5 linked regions of the Callithrix jacchus genome follow. The protein of the gene in region 4 purifies or fractionates together with the protein of the main gene of each other region. This does not show direct contact. Links are inferred from orthologs where the notes say so. Each region holds a gene or a part of one and is shown on either strand. Other genes may lie near its edges. The genes, in order: FKBP5, PSME3IP1, GPATCH8, CLK3 and TNPO3.

What was found.
Region 1: the proteins of CLK3 (region 4) and FKBP5 purify together in Homo sapiens (affinity purification with mass spectrometry; 3 studies listed by BioGRID and IntAct, counting the BioPlex papers as one, with this or other methods). This does not show direct contact. The link is inferred for Callithrix jacchus from reciprocal best matches to the Homo sapiens genes CLK3 and FKBP5.
Region 2: the proteins of CLK3 (region 4) and PSME3IP1 purify together in Homo sapiens (affinity purification with mass spectrometry; 3 studies listed by BioGRID and IntAct, counting the BioPlex papers as one, with this or other methods). This does not show direct contact. The link is inferred for Callithrix jacchus from reciprocal best matches to the Homo sapiens genes CLK3 and PSME3IP1.
Region 3: the proteins of CLK3 (region 4) and GPATCH8 purify together in Homo sapiens (affinity purification with mass spectrometry; 3 studies listed by BioGRID and IntAct, counting the BioPlex papers as one, with this or other methods). This does not show direct contact. The link is inferred for Callithrix jacchus from reciprocal best matches to the Homo sapiens genes CLK3 and GPATCH8.
Region 5: the proteins of CLK3 (region 4) and TNPO3 purify together in Homo sapiens (affinity purification with mass spectrometry; 4 studies listed by BioGRID and IntAct, counting the BioPlex papers as one, with this or other methods). This does not show direct contact. The link is inferred for Callithrix jacchus from reciprocal best matches to the Homo sapiens genes CLK3 and TNPO3.

Annotation. Positions count from the first base shown.
Region 1 is NC_133505.1:44,022,140-44,026,212, forward strand, and holds the start of FKBP5 (peptidyl-prolyl cis-trans isomerase FKBP5), read right to left. Parts: upstream 2,807-4,073; 5' UTR 2,537-2,806; intron 1-2,536. UniProt on the Homo sapiens protein: Immunophilin protein with PPIase and co-chaperone activities. Component of unligated steroid receptors heterocomplexes through interaction with heat-shock protein 90 (HSP90).
Region 2 is NC_133521.1:15,028,986-15,032,501, reverse strand, and holds part of PSME3IP1 (PSME3-interacting protein), read left to right. Parts: intron 1-2,188; coding exon 2,189-2,406; 3' UTR 2,407-3,516. UniProt on the Homo sapiens protein: Promotes the association of the proteasome activator complex subunit PSME3 with the 20S proteasome and regulates its activity.
Region 3 is NC_133506.1:71,246,325-71,249,840, forward strand, and holds part of GPATCH8 (G patch domain-containing protein 8), read right to left. Parts: intron 2,325-3,516; coding exon 2,275-2,324; intron 1,104-2,274; coding exon 973-1,103; intron 1-972.
Region 4 is NC_133509.1:21,636,361-21,639,876, forward strand, and holds part of CLK3 (dual specificity protein kinase CLK3), read right to left. Parts: intron 2,662-3,516; coding exon 2,565-2,661; intron 2,288-2,564; coding exon 2,221-2,287; intron 1-2,220. UniProt on the Homo sapiens protein: Dual specificity kinase acting on both serine/threonine and tyrosine-containing substrates. Phosphorylates serine- and arginine-rich (SR) proteins of the spliceosomal complex.
Region 5 is NC_133512.1:118,217,790-118,221,305, forward strand, and holds part of TNPO3 (transportin-3), read left to right. Parts: intron 1-2,112; coding exon 2,113-2,280; intron 2,281-3,516. UniProt on the Homo sapiens protein: Importin, which transports target proteins into the nucleus. Specifically mediates the nuclear import of splicing factor serine/arginine (SR) proteins, such as RBM4, SFRS1 and SFRS2, by recognizing phosphorylated SR domains.

The sequences.
Region 1 (4,073 bases), on a different chromosome or scaffold from region 4:
CCGCCTTCTCATCCTTCCTGGGGTCACCTCCCAGGGCAGCCACCTTGGCCAGAAGTGCCCAGGTTTGATGCTCTGGCCTGGGCTGGCATGGCCAGCAGAAAGCACAATGTCTTCAAGGCCCAGTGGAAGGACGACATCAGTCTCTGAAAGCTAAGGGGGCATGTGGAAGTGTAGGGTGGGACTAAGAAATCCCTTCAATTCCTCCAACAGTGGCTGACAAAACAGACCCCATATCCAAGGAAAGCTGTGCCCTAGGATGGGAGGATTGCAAAATGGAGGAGGCTCTGTCTGTTCTGGTAGTGGGGACCTGGGTGACACCACTCTCCAGATGCCCAAGGACTGCGGGGCCTCTGGGGACAGCATTTGAATTAGGTCATAAATGATTAGGAGAATGTCAGAGGAAGGAAGTAGGAGGGGAAAGGGGGCATTCTAGGCGGCAGAAACAACCCGAGCAAAGGCACAGAGGCGGGAAAATGGAGGGTGTGCTCCAGAAGCTGCCTCCTGCATGTTCATGGAATAAAGCTGAGGCCCAGAGAGAGGAAGTGTTTCTAAGACCTAGCAGTAGCCTTGAGGTCCTCTCACTCCAGGTCAGTGCTTTTTGTTACCCTAGAAAGCTTACAGGAGAGCACACCAGGGAGTCAGCTGTTGGTTTGGTTTCCTTTGCTTTCTTATCCCCAGCTAAGTCTCAATCAGGGATCGATCCTTGTTCTTGGCCTTCCTCTGCCAGCAGCTAGCTGTGTGATTCTAATAAGTCACTTCCCCTCTCTGGGCCCCTCATCTCCAATATGAAGGAGGTATAAGGCCTTGCTTCTACCTAGAAATGCCAACTCTGACTCTCTAAGCTAAAATGTGGCTTATTCTCCTATGCCCAGCACCCGGCAGAATCTATAGCACTACACGGGTGCTCAAATAACTGTTTTTGAATGAAGAAAGGAAGGAAAGAATGAAAAGCATCATGACTCTTCCTTAGCACTCTGCTTTGACAGCCTCAGCCTCTCCCCGCCCCAGGCAGGACAAAGGATGCAGGAGTCCCAGACCTTGAAAAGGAAGTCAAGGAAAACAAATAACTTAACTACATGGGGGCCCTAAACTCTGCCTCTGGGTGGATGCCCCTGAGAGAACCTTTCCTTGCAGCCTTGGCCTTGCTGAAACTGTGCAGTGGTCAGGGCCTGGAGGAGGGGCAGGGACCTCTAGCAGACCCAGAGGCAGCTAGGCCTGAGCCAAGACTGGCCCTCCCCTTGCTCCCTCCCCACTCACAGCTTCTCTGCTTCAAGAAGTGTCCCAAGCCTTCTGGTCCCAACCCTGAGGGGTTGGGCTGGCTCTGAAACCTCCTGTTTCCCAGGCCAATGATACCTTCATTTTTCCAGTTGCAATAACCCCTTTTTTTGAGGCCCCCTCCTTTCATGTTAAGAACTTTATTGCTCATTTCCCTCTTCCGTGACAGCAGCTGTATTTCTTTAACTTTGTGAAACACACACACGATCTATGGTGGTAGAAGTCGGAATCAGTTGCCTCTGGGGCGGAGACTGACTGGAAGGGGACACAAAGGCATTTGGAGGTAGTGAAAATGTCTGAAATCTTGATCTAGGTGATGGTTACATAGGCATATATATTTGTCAAAATTCATCAAGCTGTACACTTAAGATTTATGCATTTTACTGTATGTGGAATGTATGTTGATTATACCTCATAAAGTACTGCTAGCATCTAAAAGATACACATATGGAAAAGTACATGAAACATACATGTTCAGTTTAATGAATTATTTAGCCAGCGCCTGTGAAACACCACCCACGATACCTGGTGCCCCTGTGTAATCCACAGAGCTTGGATATAACCAAGCAGTTTCCCAGGGACCCCAGCACCCACAGACAGGGCACCTCAACTCCAGACACCATGTGCCTCTCGCTTCCCGGATTCATGGAAACATAGAGGCCAAGGATGGGGCAGAGCCCATGGGCTTTGGAACCTAGAATTTCCCATCAGTTCAACACCAGGCTTGACCACGATTCCCATTCTAGTGAATTGAAGGAACAGAAAACACACCATTTCCCCTTTCTGGGAGGGGAGTTTCCGTACTGGCCTCCTCCAGTGAGTCTTGGCTGGGGGGTGGGGGTTGTCCCTAGTTAAAGTCAAGGAGAACTGTGCCTTCCCTGCATCCCTGCTAAAAATAACTCCAGGCAGTGTTGCTGCCACTGAGCAGCAGGAAGGACAGAGTCGTGTTTTGCTTTAAACCTAGAAGCAGCTCGGCAATTGGGGGCTAGGGTGGGGTGGGAGAGCAGGCTAGGGATCTGAGAACCCTGGCTGTGCTCAGTGCACCCCCCCCCACCCCCAGCTGCAGCTGGTCTTCCGGGGGTGCCTGGGAGGGGTGTATGTGTTAGCGCATGCACGCGCATGTGTGGTGACAGGGCCTCCCAGTAGCAGAGCAGGAAACCAGGGAAGGCTGGGAATGTGTGGGGAGGGGTCTCTGTCCTGCTAACTGGAGCATGCAGCTGGAGGGCCAGGCGTCACGTCACGTACTCCATGGGGTCCCTACCTCCTCTGAGAAGCGTTCTGTTCCTGCAGCCCACGCCAGGCTCCCTGGGGTTGGAGAGGCTAGTCTTCTGCAGCGTGGCCGCCTGCCCCTCAGGGCTCCTTGCACACACGGGGCTGGAGATGGTTGCTTGGTAGTCCTTGTCTCTGTCTGGCTTCTGCTCTGCCCAAAGATATTGGGAGGTCCTCAGGGGTGGGTGCAGTCCGGCAGCGAGGAATTTCCCTGGAAACGGGAAGTACAAGATGTGTCAATATGGGATCCTAGCAGAGGAGTGAGAGGCTGAGTAAAGGGAAGGGAAGAGGCCCTCCTGGCTGCTCAGTCTTGCTCTCTCCTCCCACCACTCCCCTGCCTGTCTTATGCATCAGAGGCCTCCAATTGTTGGTCTCTCTTTCTGTATGCTTGTCTTGGGTCCCCGGCTCCTTGGAGCCAGGATCATCCTGCAGTTGGCCTCCATTTTCCAAGGTAACAATAAAGAAGAATCACCATTCATTTCACAGGTACCCCGTTCCAGGCACTGTGCTGACTCTGATGTGGATGTTCTCATTTAATCCTCCCAGCAAACCTGTGATAGTGGAATGATTACAATTCCTCCCTATTTATAAAGGAGGAAACTGAGGCTTAAAGTGGTGAAGTGCTAGTCTAGGATCTCACTGGCAGTACCTGACAAAGACAAGGCTTGAAGTCATGATATAGAACACAGAGCATGTCCAAGATGACTGTCCAGGAGACAATAAGAATTTTAGGGCCAGGCATGCTGGCTCCTTCCTGTAATCCCAGCACTTTGGGAGGCCGAGGCGGGTGGATCACCTGAGGTCAGGAGTTCGAGACCAGCATAGCCAACATGTTGAAACCCTGTCTCTACTAAAAATACAAAAATTAGCCAGGTGTGGTGGCAGGCACCTGTACTCTCAGCTACTTGGGAGGCTGAGGCAGGAAAATTGCTTGAACCCAGAAGGTGGAGGTTGCAGTGAGCCGAAATCATGCCACTGTACTCTAGCCTGGGCAACAGAGCAAGACTCTATCAAAAACAGAAAAAAAAAAAAAAAAGAATTTTAGAAATTTGATATCTGGGCCAGGCACGGTGGCTCATGCCTGTAATCCCAGCACTTTGGGAGGCTGAGGTGGGCAGATTCCCCTGAGGTCAGGAGTTGGAGACCAGCTTGACTAACATGGCAAAACCCTGTCCCTACTAAAAATACAAAAATTAGCTGGGCGTGGTGGTAGGTGCCTGTAATCCCAACTACTCGGGAGGCTGTGACAGGAGAATCGCTTAAACCCAGGAGGCGTAGGAGGAAGCAGTGAGCTGAGATCGCACCATTGCACTCCGGCCTCGGTGACAGAGCGAGACTTGGTCTCAAAAAAAAAGTAAAAAGAAATTTGACCATCCTAGATAATTTAGGACACATGGTTGCTGAACTTGATGATTTTGTTTAAAAAAACACACGTATATATACATACAAACACCAAAATAACCCCAAAATAGTGGCTTTACATTCAAAATTTGTACTCCCAGTTGTGATTTTGACCAAGAAACTAACCA
Region 2 (3,516 bases), on a different chromosome or scaffold from region 4:
GTTGTTGGTTGTTTTTTTAACAGATTTGGAAGAACTCCTAGTATCTTAAGGAAAGTTGCTTTTGTGATATTTGTTGCAAGTATTTGCTCTTGCCTTTTTTTGTAGCCTTGTTCTCACTATCTCTGCAGTCATTATCAGCTTTCATTTTACTTTTCTCCATCTTTGTGTTTTAACATTGCTTATCTGTAGCAGCTCCCTTTTCCCTTCTTAGAGTTTCTTGCACAAACAAGTAAATACACTGATCTCTTGAACTTTGTGTGCTGGCCGTTTGATATCTCTTCTAACTGCTCAGTGGTATTGTTTGCTTACTCCTGGTTGTCTATACTTGGAGCTGTGTATTCTTTTCATATTTACTTGAAATGTCTGAGTAAATGAGGCGCTCGCGCATCTAAGGCATAACCCTAAAAGATGTATGCTTGTTAGCCTGTGGCGATGAACTGTGAACTCCAACCCTTACTCTGCAATGAGCTCAGATGATCATTTTAGTATGTTATCTTTTAATTCACATTTAGTTTAACATTTTGTGCCCTAAGCAACCTACAACCTTGCCAAGTGATTTGACTTTCCTCATCAGTAAGATGGGGATGATGCCTATACATCAAATTGTAGTGATTAAATAAGGCTGGAAACATTTCAGGGAAAAAGCAAAGGGCTGGAGTAGAATTCTTAACTTTCCCTTTCGTCTTCAAGTCGTCCATTTTCTTTCTTCTTTTTTTTTTTTTTTCTTGAAACCGGGTCTTGCTCTGTTGTCCAGGCTGGAGTACACTGGTGCCATGATAGTTCACTGTAACCTTGAATTCCTGGGCTTAAGCAATCCTTGCCTCAGCCTTATGAGTAACTGGGACCACAGGCCCAACCATCACACCCAACTAATTTTTTTTTTTTTTTTGAGATGGAGTCTTGCTCTGTTACCCAGGTTGGAGTGCAGTGGCATGATCTTGGCTCACTGCAACCACTGCCTCCTGGATTCAAACTATTTTCCTCCCTCACTCTCCCTAGTAATTGGGATTACAGGCATGCATCACCACGCCCATTTTTTTGTTCTTTTAGTAGAGATGGGGTTTCACTATATTGGGCAGGCTGATCTTGAACTCCTGACCTCAAGTCATCCACCCACCTCGGCCTCAAAGTGCTGGGATTACAGGCATGAGCCACCGTGCTCGGCACCGACTAATTTTTTAAAACATTTTCTTGTAGAGACAGGGACTCACTATGTTGCCCAGGCTGGTCTTAAACTCCGGACCTCAAGTGGTCCTCCCATCTCAGCCTCCCAAAGTGCTAGGATTGTAGGCATGAGCCACCGTGCCGAACCAAGTCCTGCATTGTCTAGATTGAGGTCTTTGTCATTGAGATGGCAGAACAACTGTGGGGTTCCTGTAAGACAAAGAGTCTTAGCTTCTAGGTGACATTCTGCATGGCCTTAAAATGTTACCTGACAGGCTTCAGTTTTCTCATCTGTAAAATAACACAACTGGAAAGCAAAGGTTGTGTTAAGTCAGTTTCTGAATCACTCCTCTCTCCCATCAGGGAAAAGTGGCCCTTAATACAGAGCATTATTCTGGTGAGTCCCTCGGAGCCTATTCCAGTCGTGGGGGCTGCCCAATTTTTTAACATTTTTTAAAAGAAAATGTTATCATGTAGCTGATGTTTGGCCTTGAAAATGTATCTGTGCTTGCTGGCATATTGGTCAGTAAGTAAGAAATGGCATAATATGCTGAGAAGTTAATGGAATTGTTAATACTGCTCACAGTGTCTCTCTTAATCTGTCTTCATCCCTACTGTTGAGGGCATGTGGAAGCCTTTCATCCCCCACCCACGTGTCCATTTCACAGCTGTGTGAGCACAGGGAAATCAAAGCACTCTAGGTTACACTCTGAAGTAGCTAGTTCTGCAACTCAGAGCTGATGGAGAACAACAGAGTATAGTCAGGCTCTGGGGTTAAAAAGACCTTGATTCAAGTCTCAGCTCTGCCCCTTTACTTTCAGAAGTCCTTTCACCTCCTGGAGCCTCCCTTCCTTCTTTAGTTTCCCCGTCTCTAAATCGAGGGCAATGATAGTATTGGCTGCATAGAGTTGTTCTGAGGCTTCTCTGTGGGAAAAGCCCTTGGTACAATGCCTGGCACATGGTATGTCAGTCGTCAACTTTGGAAAACAGTGATGAAGTGACAGTCTTTCCCCTTTTGTTGCAGAGGCCTCATCCTGCAAGTCTCTCGGAAACACTTCCCTGAGTGGCCCCTCCATCCACTGCCCCTCTGCTGCAGTCTGTATCGGCATCCTCCCAGGCCTGGGTGCCTACTCTGGGAGCAGCGACTCCGAGTCCAGCTCAGACAGCGAAGGCACCATCAATGCCACTGGAAAGATCGTCTCTTCTATCTTCCGAACCAACACCTTCCTCGAAGCCCCCTAGTTTCTCTGTGCTTACGCTGGAAACTCCTCCCCAAGGGTAGATCGGACCGTTTATGCCACCTACAGACATTATGTCCCTCAAAAAAAAACTCCTTTGCCTGTGTCCTGTGCACAACGTGACATTTTTAACCAACCCAATCTAAAGATGTGCCAGAATCTACCTGTGGCCCAAATCGTGTTTGGTTTCTCTTTCCACTCCAGTGCAGATGACCAAACCTGTCCCGCTGCCACTTCCTCACTGACGTGGGGAGGAGGGCAAGGCCCAGCCGAAGTTCCACTAAAAATGCCCTAGGAGGATAGGCACCGGCTGGCTTGCCAAAAGGTTCAGGTTTTATTGCTTTCTGTTTTTTTCTTTTCTTTCCTTTCCCAACAGCACAAAAAAGTAAGGGCAGTTATTGGACAGGTATTATTTAAACATTCTATTGTAGGTGAGTGTGCTGTTTGGTTCCACTGCATTGTAGAGCATGCGGGGGAAGAGAACTGACCCAGGTGAAGAAATGGAGCCCTTCCCTCGAACTAACCAGTCCTTAATGTTGTGTGACTAAGTAGAGATGCTAAACCGCATCCGCTGGGGGTGTCGCTTCACACTCGGCATGCATTGTGAAGGCTTTCCACCCTTGGCCATTCCGTTTCCCCTCTCTCCAACCCCATTTATGCAGGAAGGGACTGCTAACAAGAAAACTTCCATCTTCTCAGACCTTTTCTCTGCCTCAGAAATTATTTTATGTTTGTTTTTGAAATAAAGGATTTAGTTTGAGATTCAAAATCTTAGAGAAACGTAGGCCTTGTTTACTCATAGCCAGACATCAGAACTGTGGGTAGGTATGTTAATGAGATGACTTATTTCCGGCAGCTCCTGGAATCCAAATATTGTAAACTAGTGGAACATACTTGCATTTTATGACTGTTCTATCGAGGCCCTTCTCTGTTTAATGCATATTATATTTGTGCTTTTAACTGTGGAATCTATTTCTAACTTAAGGGTGCTGCCCTAGTACTTTTCTTTGCTGCCCCTGCTGCTCTTTTTCCTTTCCAGACAGCAACTCTTGAGGCCATGAGCAGCCAAAAACTAGTGGTGCTCCTCTATCTTGTCTCATAAAGGGAAATGGGC
Region 3 (3,516 bases), on a different chromosome or scaffold from region 4:
AACTAGGAAGAGTAAGTTCCAGTGTTCTAGACCACTGTAGGATGACTAGAGTTAACAATACTATGTAGTTTTGGCCAGAGGGTGGTGGCTCACGCCTGTAATCCCAGTACTTTGGGAGGCTGAGGAGTGTGGATCAAGAAGTCAGGAATTCGAGACCACCCTGACTAATATGGTGAAACCCTGTCTCTACTAAAAATACAAAAATGAGCCAGATATGGCGGTGTGCACCTGTAATCCCAGCTACTTGGGAGGTTGAGAAAGGAGAACTGCTTGAACTCGGGAGGCAGAGGCTGCAGTGAGCTGAGATCGTGCCATTTCACTCCAGCCTGGGAGACACAGTGAGACTGTCTCAAAAAAACAAAAAACAGGCCGGGCGCGGTGGCTCACGCCTATAATCCCAGCACTCCGGGAGGCCGAGGTGAGTGGATCACGAGGTCAAGAGATCGAGACTATCCTGGTCAACGAGGTGAAACCCTGTCTCTACTAGAAGTACAAAAATTAGCTGGGCATGGTGGTGTGTGCCTGTAGTCCCAGCTACTTGGGAGGCTGAGGCAGGAGAATTGCTTGAACCCAGAAGGCGGAGGTTGCGGTGAGCCGAGATCGTGCCACTGCACTCCAGTCTTGGTAACAACAGCGAAACTCCGTCTCAAAACAAAACAAAAACAAACCCAAACAGACAATACTATGTAGTTTCAAATAGTTAGAAAGAGGATATTAAATGTCCTGCACAAAGAAATGATAAATGTTTGAGGTGATGGATATGGTAATTACCCTGATCTGATCACTATACATTATATGTACTGAAGCATTACTACATAACCCGTGAATATGTACAATTATTATTTGTCAATTAAAAAAATTCAAGGTTTATAATTCTTAAATCTTAATTTAATCATTAAATTTAATCTTAAATCTATAAAATTTTAAGGATTATATTTATCTGTACAACCCTCTGAGAAAAAATATACTCACCATTCAGCTTGTTTTCTTTGCTCTGCCAGCTCATGGAGCCGCCGAAGGGCTTTTTCCTGTTTTTTCTCATCCTTGCGGGATCTTGAAGAGACATTTCGAGCAAACTCTCTCTGCTTGAGATCTTTTAATCTCTGGGTTAAAATAAAGAAAGATATAGAGGGTGGATGATTTAGAGTAACTTAGGAACCTGAAAGCAAAGCCTTAGGACACGACCCTCAACCAATAGTTACAGTATTAGTGTAGAATACATTATCATATTCTCTTATGGCAATTGAAAACACAATGGCTGATTACTTTGGGTATAGCACTTGCAGTATCTGCATTTCTAATTAGGACAACGCATCATTTGCTTTATTAGGCGAAATAAAATGATCTCAAATGCAACAAGGAAATTTTAGAACACTGGGAGGAAAGAAAAGGGACTATTTAATCACCTGCTCCTCCAGGATGCAAAACTAGACAAACAGAACATGAGATAAATTGCAATATCACAAGCCAAAGAGAACAGAAAGGGGTTAGGCTAGTACAGAAAATTACCCAGGTGTAAGATCTTGAAAAGCAATGTACAGCTTACATGGGGGGGGTTATTAAAATTAGAACAAATAGAAAGCATACTTTTATTTCACCATAAAAAGGTGTTGTTATTTTTTTTCAGCATGAATAGAGGTTTCCTGTAACTACTGAATAAACCCAAGAGAGGTCTCCCTCTCCAAGAGAGGTCTTCCAGTGCTAGCATGTTTAGAGCTCACCAGTCTGACCACTTTTATCTGGTCAGCCTGCTGAAAGTAGTATGTGAGGCTTTGCATTCCTTCATGGCCCTGAGAGGAATATCCAGGGGATGAGGAGGGAGAGCAGAGATAAGTCAAAGATTTTACTTAAAATCCAGATAACAGAATGGGTCTTTTATTTTCAGAAGCTACTGTATAATTTTCCTTAAAACAAAACAAACTATAACCAAAAAAGAACAGTGTTATGACACACTGGTGACAGAACCCAGACATATCTATCTGCAATGAAGACACAACTAAAATTATTTTCAAGACATTAGATAACACAAGAAACAAACAAAACGAAACATATACATTAGCCTATGCTTTTACAACAGCATTGGGAAAAGGAATTTGACCCAGTATAAAGTGGACATTGCTTTGTGGAAAGGCATGATGTTTAACAGACAGAGGAATTTTCTTACCTAATATTTATGAAATGTGTTTTGAATCTTTTTAAATTGGAAGAGGGGAAGGGTAGAAAGACACACACAATAAAAGATATACAGCTAAAGACACTAGTAGAAAAACTCACTCTTGTGATCTGGGCTCCCAAATTAGAAGGATTTGCTTTCAATACATCAGCTGAAAATGTCACATCACAAAGAAAAAAAAGTAAAAAATAAAACAAGAGTGGAAGAGAAAAAAAAAATAAAGCAAGCATTACTACACAAGCTCTCTTAGTGAATCTGTAAACTATTATACTGAACAATCAGGGACAAAGCCATCAATTCTAAAAGGGCTGGGGAGAAGGGAAGCACCTGTACAACATATATATGTGTACATACACACAGACTGACATAGTAATCCCACCTAGAAAAATGAAACTACCTGTATTTCTTTCAGAAAAATGGTTCCAGAACTTTGGAAAAGACCATTGTGGCATAAAAAAGCAGTCTTGTTTCCATTAGCCCTTATTTTGGGGAAGTTGAAGCAATGAACAGCTGGCAAAACTATTAGTGCCCATAATTAAGATTTTTTTTTTGAGACACAGTCTCTCTCTGTCGCCCAGGCTGGAGTGCAGTGACATAATCCTGCACCTCCCAGGTTCAAGCAATTCTCATGCCTCAGCCTCCCAAGTAGCTGGGATTACAGGCGTGCACCCCCATGCCTGGCTCATTTTTGTATTTTTAGTAGAGACGGAGTTTCATCACGGTGGCCAGGGTGGTCTCAAACTCCTGGCCTCAAGTGATCTCAAATGCCTCGGCCTCCCAAAGTGCTGGGATTAAAGGCATGAGCCAACACGCCTAGCCCACAATTAAGATTTTTATAATGTCACTTCAAGATAAAGGATCAACTATTTTAAATAAATATGAATTCCAATTTCCTTCTCCTGAGGTGAATGGGCAGAAATAAAAGGCTTATCAGGCCTATTATATGATTACCTTTGGCCACAAACCTAATTTTTTCTTCCCCAACCACATAACAGGTTTTCTAGCCAAGATTTAGATAGAATGTATCTTCTTCTCCTATCTGCCATTTTCTCCCTCTCTCCTCTCAACTCAAGGCAACCTCCGCCTCCTGGGTCCAAGCGATTCTTCTGTCTCAGCCTCCTGAGTAGCTGAGACTACAGGTCCCTGTCACCATGTCTGGCTGATTTTCTGTATTTTTAGTAGAGATAGGGTTTCATCTTGTTGGCCAGGGTAGTCTCTGACCTCAAGTGATCCGCCCACCTTGGCTTCCCCAAGTGCTGGGATTACAGGCATGAGCCACCATGCCCGGCCTGCCATCTTCTCTCTAGCTACCTGCTAAGACTGGAAAATCTCCCTATGCCATT
Region 4 (3,516 bases):
CCAGCCTGCACCATGCAACACCAGACCTTTGCCCACCCAACAGCAAATTCCCTGGCATCTGTGAGTTAATGCTCCTGATATCCATGCCAGCCTTAGGCTTTTATGTTCTCAGCCACTGCCAGCTCCCAAAGGAGTGTGGGAGAGTAAAGGCCAGTCCTGCTTAACCAATGCCAGCCCAAGAACTCACACAGTGACCTAACCTGTAGGCCAGACAGCCCCAACTGTGGCCAAGCTGTCCCCCCCAGAGCCCTCCTACAGCACCTCTTGACCTTCCTGGGCTTGTCTGCAAGTCTGAGCAAACAGGGATAGGGGGTTCCAGGATCAAGTAAAGATCTGGCAAGAGGTAGGGGTACCAGCAAGGGTACCTCTCACTGTGAGGCCCAGGGCCATTCCCTTTATCATACCCCTCTCCAGTTGCACCTACCTGCCACAGCGTTTATCAGTGACCAAAAAATGCCAGGAACCCTTCTTAAGTGTCCAAAGAAGATTTTAAGTCCCTGCTCTGTGCTTCCCACCCCGAACCCCGCCCCAGGAGACCATCTGCGGAGAGCCAGCAGAGAAGGAAACCTGCTGAGGCAAGGCTGCCAGGCCCTGTCAGGAAAGGGCAGCTAGAATCCAGATGCCCAGTGGAGAACTGGAGTGAGACAGCCCTAGCCTGGAAGGGCGTGTCCTCTGAGGCCTCAGGGAGGCTGACTGTGTTGCCTAAGAAAAGGTTCACAGGCCCAGAGCAAAGGGACCTTCCAGAAAATCCCCTGCTTTTCTCTCCCTATCCCATTTTCCCAGATTCTCAGGGAAGGAAGGGAACTCAAGGGAAAGGCCATGCACTCCAGCCTCCTCCTAAAACAAGGTCCCTCCATGGCATTCCAATCCTCAGCACAGGGAGCTCATCACTTCCAAGGCAGCCCCTGCCAGAGATGCATGGCTCTGAGAATATGACCCTGCCTTTAGCTGAGCTGAATTCTGCCTCCACATGACAAACCCCACTGGCCCTGGCTCCCTTTGAGTCCCATAAAGGTTCCCTGGACCTTCCACCTGCCCCCTCATGACTCCAGAGGCTCATGTTCCCTCCAGCTCCTCAGATAGGAGCAGCCCAGACCACCTGCACACATCCCAGCTCTTGAGTCTGCCATGCCTCCACCTGGCCACGGTGTGGCTGCACATGGCCCTCCACCTGCTGGTCCCAACCCTAACCTCTTGGGCCACACTGAGTCATACAGCTGTTTACATGGAAACGTGGAGCAAATGGAAGCTTCCTGTCAGTCTATCTCGTGGCCGAGGGGAAGGCTGGAGGCCTGGGTCTGAATGGCCTTCCTGAGCACTCCATTTAATGTGGGAGCACTATGGGGCAGCAGTGGCCAGCTCTGCCGTTAATTGGAGTATGATGCGGCCAAACCCTGAGGATGTTTATTCATCTCTGAAATAGCAGGAAGGCCAAATATGGGTGGCAAGTGGCTACAATGAAGACACGGGTACTCTGTAGCTAAAGTGCCAAACCAATTAAAGGGCCTATGGCAGGGAGGCAACTGGCTCCCCAGAGGGGGCCTCCCCACCCCAGAGCTACAGGGGAGGAAGCAAAAGGGAAAGTTCTAGTCTTGTGGAATGGTAAGGGGACAAAACTATTGCGCTGCTGGACCTGGGAGAGAGTGAGGTGCCCCAGCAGCACGACAGTGTATACCCCTCTCCGGGCACACACAGCGGAGACCACACACTACCCCAGCCACACTGGAAAAGGCAGCAGCCTGCTTGGTGAGAAAGCGCAGGGTCTTGTTTCTTTCAACAGATCTGCACAGCCTCTCAGGCAGACCCTCGGGATGGGATTCATGCTTGGGCTGGGCTTAGTGGCACTCCTAGCCGCCTGCCAGGCCAAGAACCTAAAAGTTATCACAGGAAGCAGCTCCAAGCCACAGGGGAGCCAGGGCCTTGGTCCTGTCCTGATAACCACCACCAGAGCCCTGGAGAAGTGGAGGGATTGGAGCAGAACCATTCACTGACCAGCAATTCTTAGGCAGGAATGCCACATGCCTGCAGAACCCAAGAATTTCTCCCTTATTACAGGGGATCAGCAAAACCCCAACATGGACAGGTCAGAACCCTACTCTGGTGCCACGCTTCAGAAAGAAAACAGTTAAGCTCTGATAGCCACCACCCTGAAGAACCTCAGGCCAGCTCTTCCCAGGAAGGTCACATCCAGAGCCAGCTGTACTGCCCCAGTTCACTCACCTGGCATGGTCCAAGCACTCCACCACCTTGCCAAAGGTGCCTTCACCCAGGTTCCCCACAATCTCATCTAGGAGAGAAAAGAAACTGGGCATGAGAATCTGGAGGGCAGGGTGTTGGCAGCTCCTGCAAGTTCACAGCATTCAAATTCTCAAAAACAAAAAAGGTTTCTCTCTCACTGGTACACTCTTAAAAATGGAAGTTGCTAGCGTCTGTGTCATTCAGGCAATTACTGGTGGCCCCGCTAAGGCACCACGCGCACTAGAGGCCCCTCCAGGCAGGAGAGGTCTCGTCTAACAAGGGGGGTAGAAAGTAGAGAGGTAAAGTTTTACGAAAGGTGGCTGTACATCGCTCTTGGAGCCAATCGCCGATCCGGCACACCAGGTGACCCTCCTTGTCATCTTCCACACTCCGGCTGCTGCGCTTACTGCTCTGTTGGCTTCTCTGCATGCACCGCCCCCCGAAACGCCATCCGACCAATCGCATGGTAGGCGGTTCCGATTGACAGATTGAGGTGTCAGTCAAAGGCAGAGGTGGAGACGGTGAGGAGCCGGTGGGTTGGTTGGTTGGATTTTCCAGATCCCAGCATTTCATAAGGCACACAGCATATATAACGATAGGGATATTGCAAGGGACACGTCAAGACACAAGCTGACTTCAAAAACAGAAAAGTAAAAACAGCTACAGGTATGTAAAGAAAACTCGGATATTATCTCTACGAGGAGTGCCACGAACGCTCAGGAAGATGACCTGCCTCTGCTGCTGAGGGCCGCGCTGTGAGGAGAGCCATAGCCCCGACTCCCTCCTCCTCCTCTGAGTCTCTCCCTCCCAGGCCCTCCCATGTGGCTTTGGCCAGAGCGGAAGACACAGTGAGAACGGCGCAAGAAGGCAGCTGGCCCTGCCTGGGTCCAACCATCCAGACTGGTCAGAGGCTGCTCCGGCTTCAGCTGCAGAATGCCCAGCCTGCCCTTGCCTGCCTCTGTTCGCCCACGCAGCCTTGCACATACCCGACAGTTGCCACTCAGAGCCAAGCTGCTACCTGCCCCCAGACGGCATCCTTGGCCAGACTTCACCATCACTACCAGAAACAACCTTCCATCAGCAGCCTTCCTGCCACCAGCCTCAAGCAGGAAAGCAGCCTGGGATCCTCTGGGTAGGTCGACTGCCAGGCTTCCTACCACAATGGCCCACACAGGCCCCATGTCAGCTCCTGCCCTGACCTTGGCGTCCATGCTGCTCACAATCAGGCCCATCCCAAGCCTCACGACGATTGATAGAGGGCACCAAAAAGAGAAGCAG
Region 5 (3,516 bases), on a different chromosome or scaffold from region 4:
TAAACAACAAGAAGGCAGTATTTGGTGTTCTCATTTGTTTTTGAGACAGAGTCTTGCTCTGTCACCTAGGCAGAGTACAGTGATGTGATCATGGCTCACTGCAGGCTCTGCCTCTCAGGCTCAAGGGATCCTCAGCCTACTGAGTAGCTAGGACTACAGGCATTCACCACCATGCCTGGCTAGTTTTTATATTTTTTGTAGAGATGGCATTTCACTATGTTGCCCAGGTTGGTCTTGAACTCCTGGCCTAAAGTGATCCTCCCACCTTGGCCTCCAGTATTTGATTATCAGATGAGTGATCAAAGTCATGATTGCTATGAGATTAGACAAGGGAAAGCTCTAGACAGAAGAGAGTTGGAATAACTTTCTGAAAGGGGACGGATTTAAATGGAGCCATGAGATAGAGGTAGAATTTGGTTGGATTCGAGAGAGTTAGTCTAACTGCCTTTAAACTAGGATCAGAGCAATTCAGAATAGTACTAAGTTTGTTAGTAGACAGCTAAGCAATGGGACTAGTAAAGTGGCTCACAGGAATTTTGAAGGTAGGTTTGGTTAGATGTGGAGTAAAATTGTAGATAAGGAAGAACAGGGAAGAAGTACGTATTCACTTCTGCATTCTATTCAGGCTGTTCATTTAAGAAGTTTGGCAGTAAAAGAGAAAATTACTAGAAGGGAAAGGTAATTTAAAAATATATTTTTCTCAAGGTATTAGAAATATGTATGTGTATGTTTAAAGACCACAAGAAGGAACGGTGCGGTGGCTTATGCCTGTAATTCCATCGCTTTGGGAGGCCGAGATGGGCAGATCACTTGAGGTCAGGAGTTCGAGACCAGCCTGGCCGACATGATGAAACCAGTCTCTACTGAAAATACAAAAATTAGCTGAGCATGGTAGCGCATGCCTATAATCCCAACTACTAGGGAGGCTGAGGCAGGAGAATTGCTTGAACCTAGGGGGCAGAGGTTTTGCTTAGCTGAGATCATGTCACTGCACTCCAGCCTAGGCAACAGAGCAAGACTCTGTCAAAAAAAAAAAAAAAATTAAAGACCACATAGAGGGCCAGGCGCGGTGGCTCATACTTGTAATCCCAGCACTTTGGGAGGCTGAGGCAGGCGGATCATGATGTCAAGAGATCGAGACCATCCTGACCAGCGTGGTGAAACCCAGTCTCTACTAAAAAATACAAAAATTAGCTGGGCGTAGTGGCATGCACCTGTAGTCCCAGCTACTTGGGAGGCTGAGGCAGGAGAATTGCCTGAACCCCAGGAGGTGGAGGTTGCAGTGAGCTAGGATCTGCACGCCAGCCTGGTGCCTGGTGACAGAGCAAGACTCTGTCTCCAAAAAAAAAAGACCACATAAAGAAAGAAAATAAGGGTTTTTTTAACAGGAAAAAATTCAGAATCTGATAGACATCTTCAATTCTTATTTCAGTTGGTTTTGTTTTGTTTTGTTGTGAGATGGGGATCTGGTTGTGTTACCCAGACTGTAGTGGCCATTCACAGGTGAGATCCCACTGCAGATCAGAATGGAATTTTGACCCACTCTGTTTCTGACTTGGGCTATTCACCTCTCCCTCCTTAGGCAACCCAGGAGTGGGGATCACAATATTAATACTGAATTTAGTGCAGGCACCAGCCCAGAACACCTGGGTTCAAGCTGTCCTCCTGTCCCTCCTTTGGAGTGGCTGGGACTATGGTGTATGCTGCTGTGCCAGGCCGACTTGGTTTTTAAACAAGAAAATAGGAACGCAAGTTATTTTTCACATTAAAAATATTTAATTGAAGATGAGGGAAAAAAAGTTTTTAAATTGCTAACTTAATTCTGAACAGTATTTTCTTTTCTGCCTTAAAATCATGAAAAATCTAAGCATTAATCTCTGTTGAAACCCATGCTCATTCCTCGATACTAATAAACTCTTTAATTTTCTTTTTGAAGGTGAAACACTTTGTGAACTTTGTGAATCCAGCTGTTATTTTACACACACGTGCACACACATACACATACTTTCTTCCCTATTAAAGATAAATTACTAGGCTAAAGGGGGAATAGTGCTTGGTCTTTGGAATGTTGAGACTAGAATTTATCTGATGTTCCTGCTTTCCTATATACAGCATGAAGAAGACTTTGAATTACGGAAGGAACTGATTGGACAGGTGATGAGCCAGCTTGGACAGCAGCTTGTCAGCCAGCTGCTACATACCTGCTGCTTTTGTCTCCCCCCCTATACCCTGCCAGATGTGGCTGAAGTGCTCTGGGAGATCATGCAGGTTGATAGACCGGTAAGATGTTTTCATAAGGAATTTATCTCATAGTTACTAAATGTAATAGGCTTTGGTTCCTTAAGGCCAACCCTAATTTTGAAACTAGCCCTGTTCTGTGTCCGTGGAGCCAAATTTAGGCGTATTGCCAAGTTAGATTAGTAGATGAAGAGGCTCACAGAAGGTCAGTAATTTATTATTGAGTCCTTTAAAGCATGTTTATATGTCACTGTCATAGAATTTGTATTACCAAAAATAAGTATCAAGCATTGAATTCAGTCGTGTGGCTGTCCAATGTGAAATATGTTCACTTGTGAGAGATGCCCAAATGTCAGTCATATTAGTTATGTATTATTCAGGAAGTATTTCATCCTGTCAGACCTCTTCTATAGCACTGTATTATTTCTTGGTGATACATCTAACCAGAACATTTGGAAGCACATAAATGTAAACGTAACCCACAATGTAGACTTGGATATATTTCCCCTTTGGATTTCTTTGAACCAGATTCTTAATCACCTAAGGATGGAATTGTTTTTTTAAAGCTATCTGATAATGCCCAAATATTTTCAGTACTAGGTCACATGACCATAACTCAGTTTATGTGTGCTGTGTGAAAGTTGAGCAGAATGGTAAAATGTAATATAATCTGAAATTATTTTTAAAATTGAATTTATAATTTTTAATATTACTATAAAAGCAGTTTAGGAAAGTACTCAATAGGACCTAAAGTGAGCTATCTTACAGAACAACAGAATATAAAATGGATAATAATAATATAGATAGTACCTATTCCTTGCTGGTTCAATACTCATGTTCCATTTCAACTTAATAGAGCAGCATATTTGGTTTTCTAAAGAAAAGTACTTTTTGAGCCTCCAGGAATCAGCAAATTTAATTCCAAAAGTCCTTGACCTGAGGGAAAAAGTCTCCATACTCTGCTTAAACTTTTTTACAAATATACTTGATTCCCAAGTAATAGAAAACTTAAATAAATCTAACTTTATAAAAACATTCTTGAGTGTAAACAAATTGTTAAGTGCTAACAAAAACAAACAAAAGATGAGAACAAGAAGTTTGGACAGGAACAGAAACCAGGTAGCCATGTACTCTTAGGAGTGTACTATATATATACCTGCCGGGCACAGTGGCTTATGCCTGTCTTCCCAACACTTTGGGAGACCAGGGCAGGAGGATCACTTGAGGCCAGGAGTTTGAAACCAGCCTCGGCAACAAAGGGAGACCCCACCCCTACAA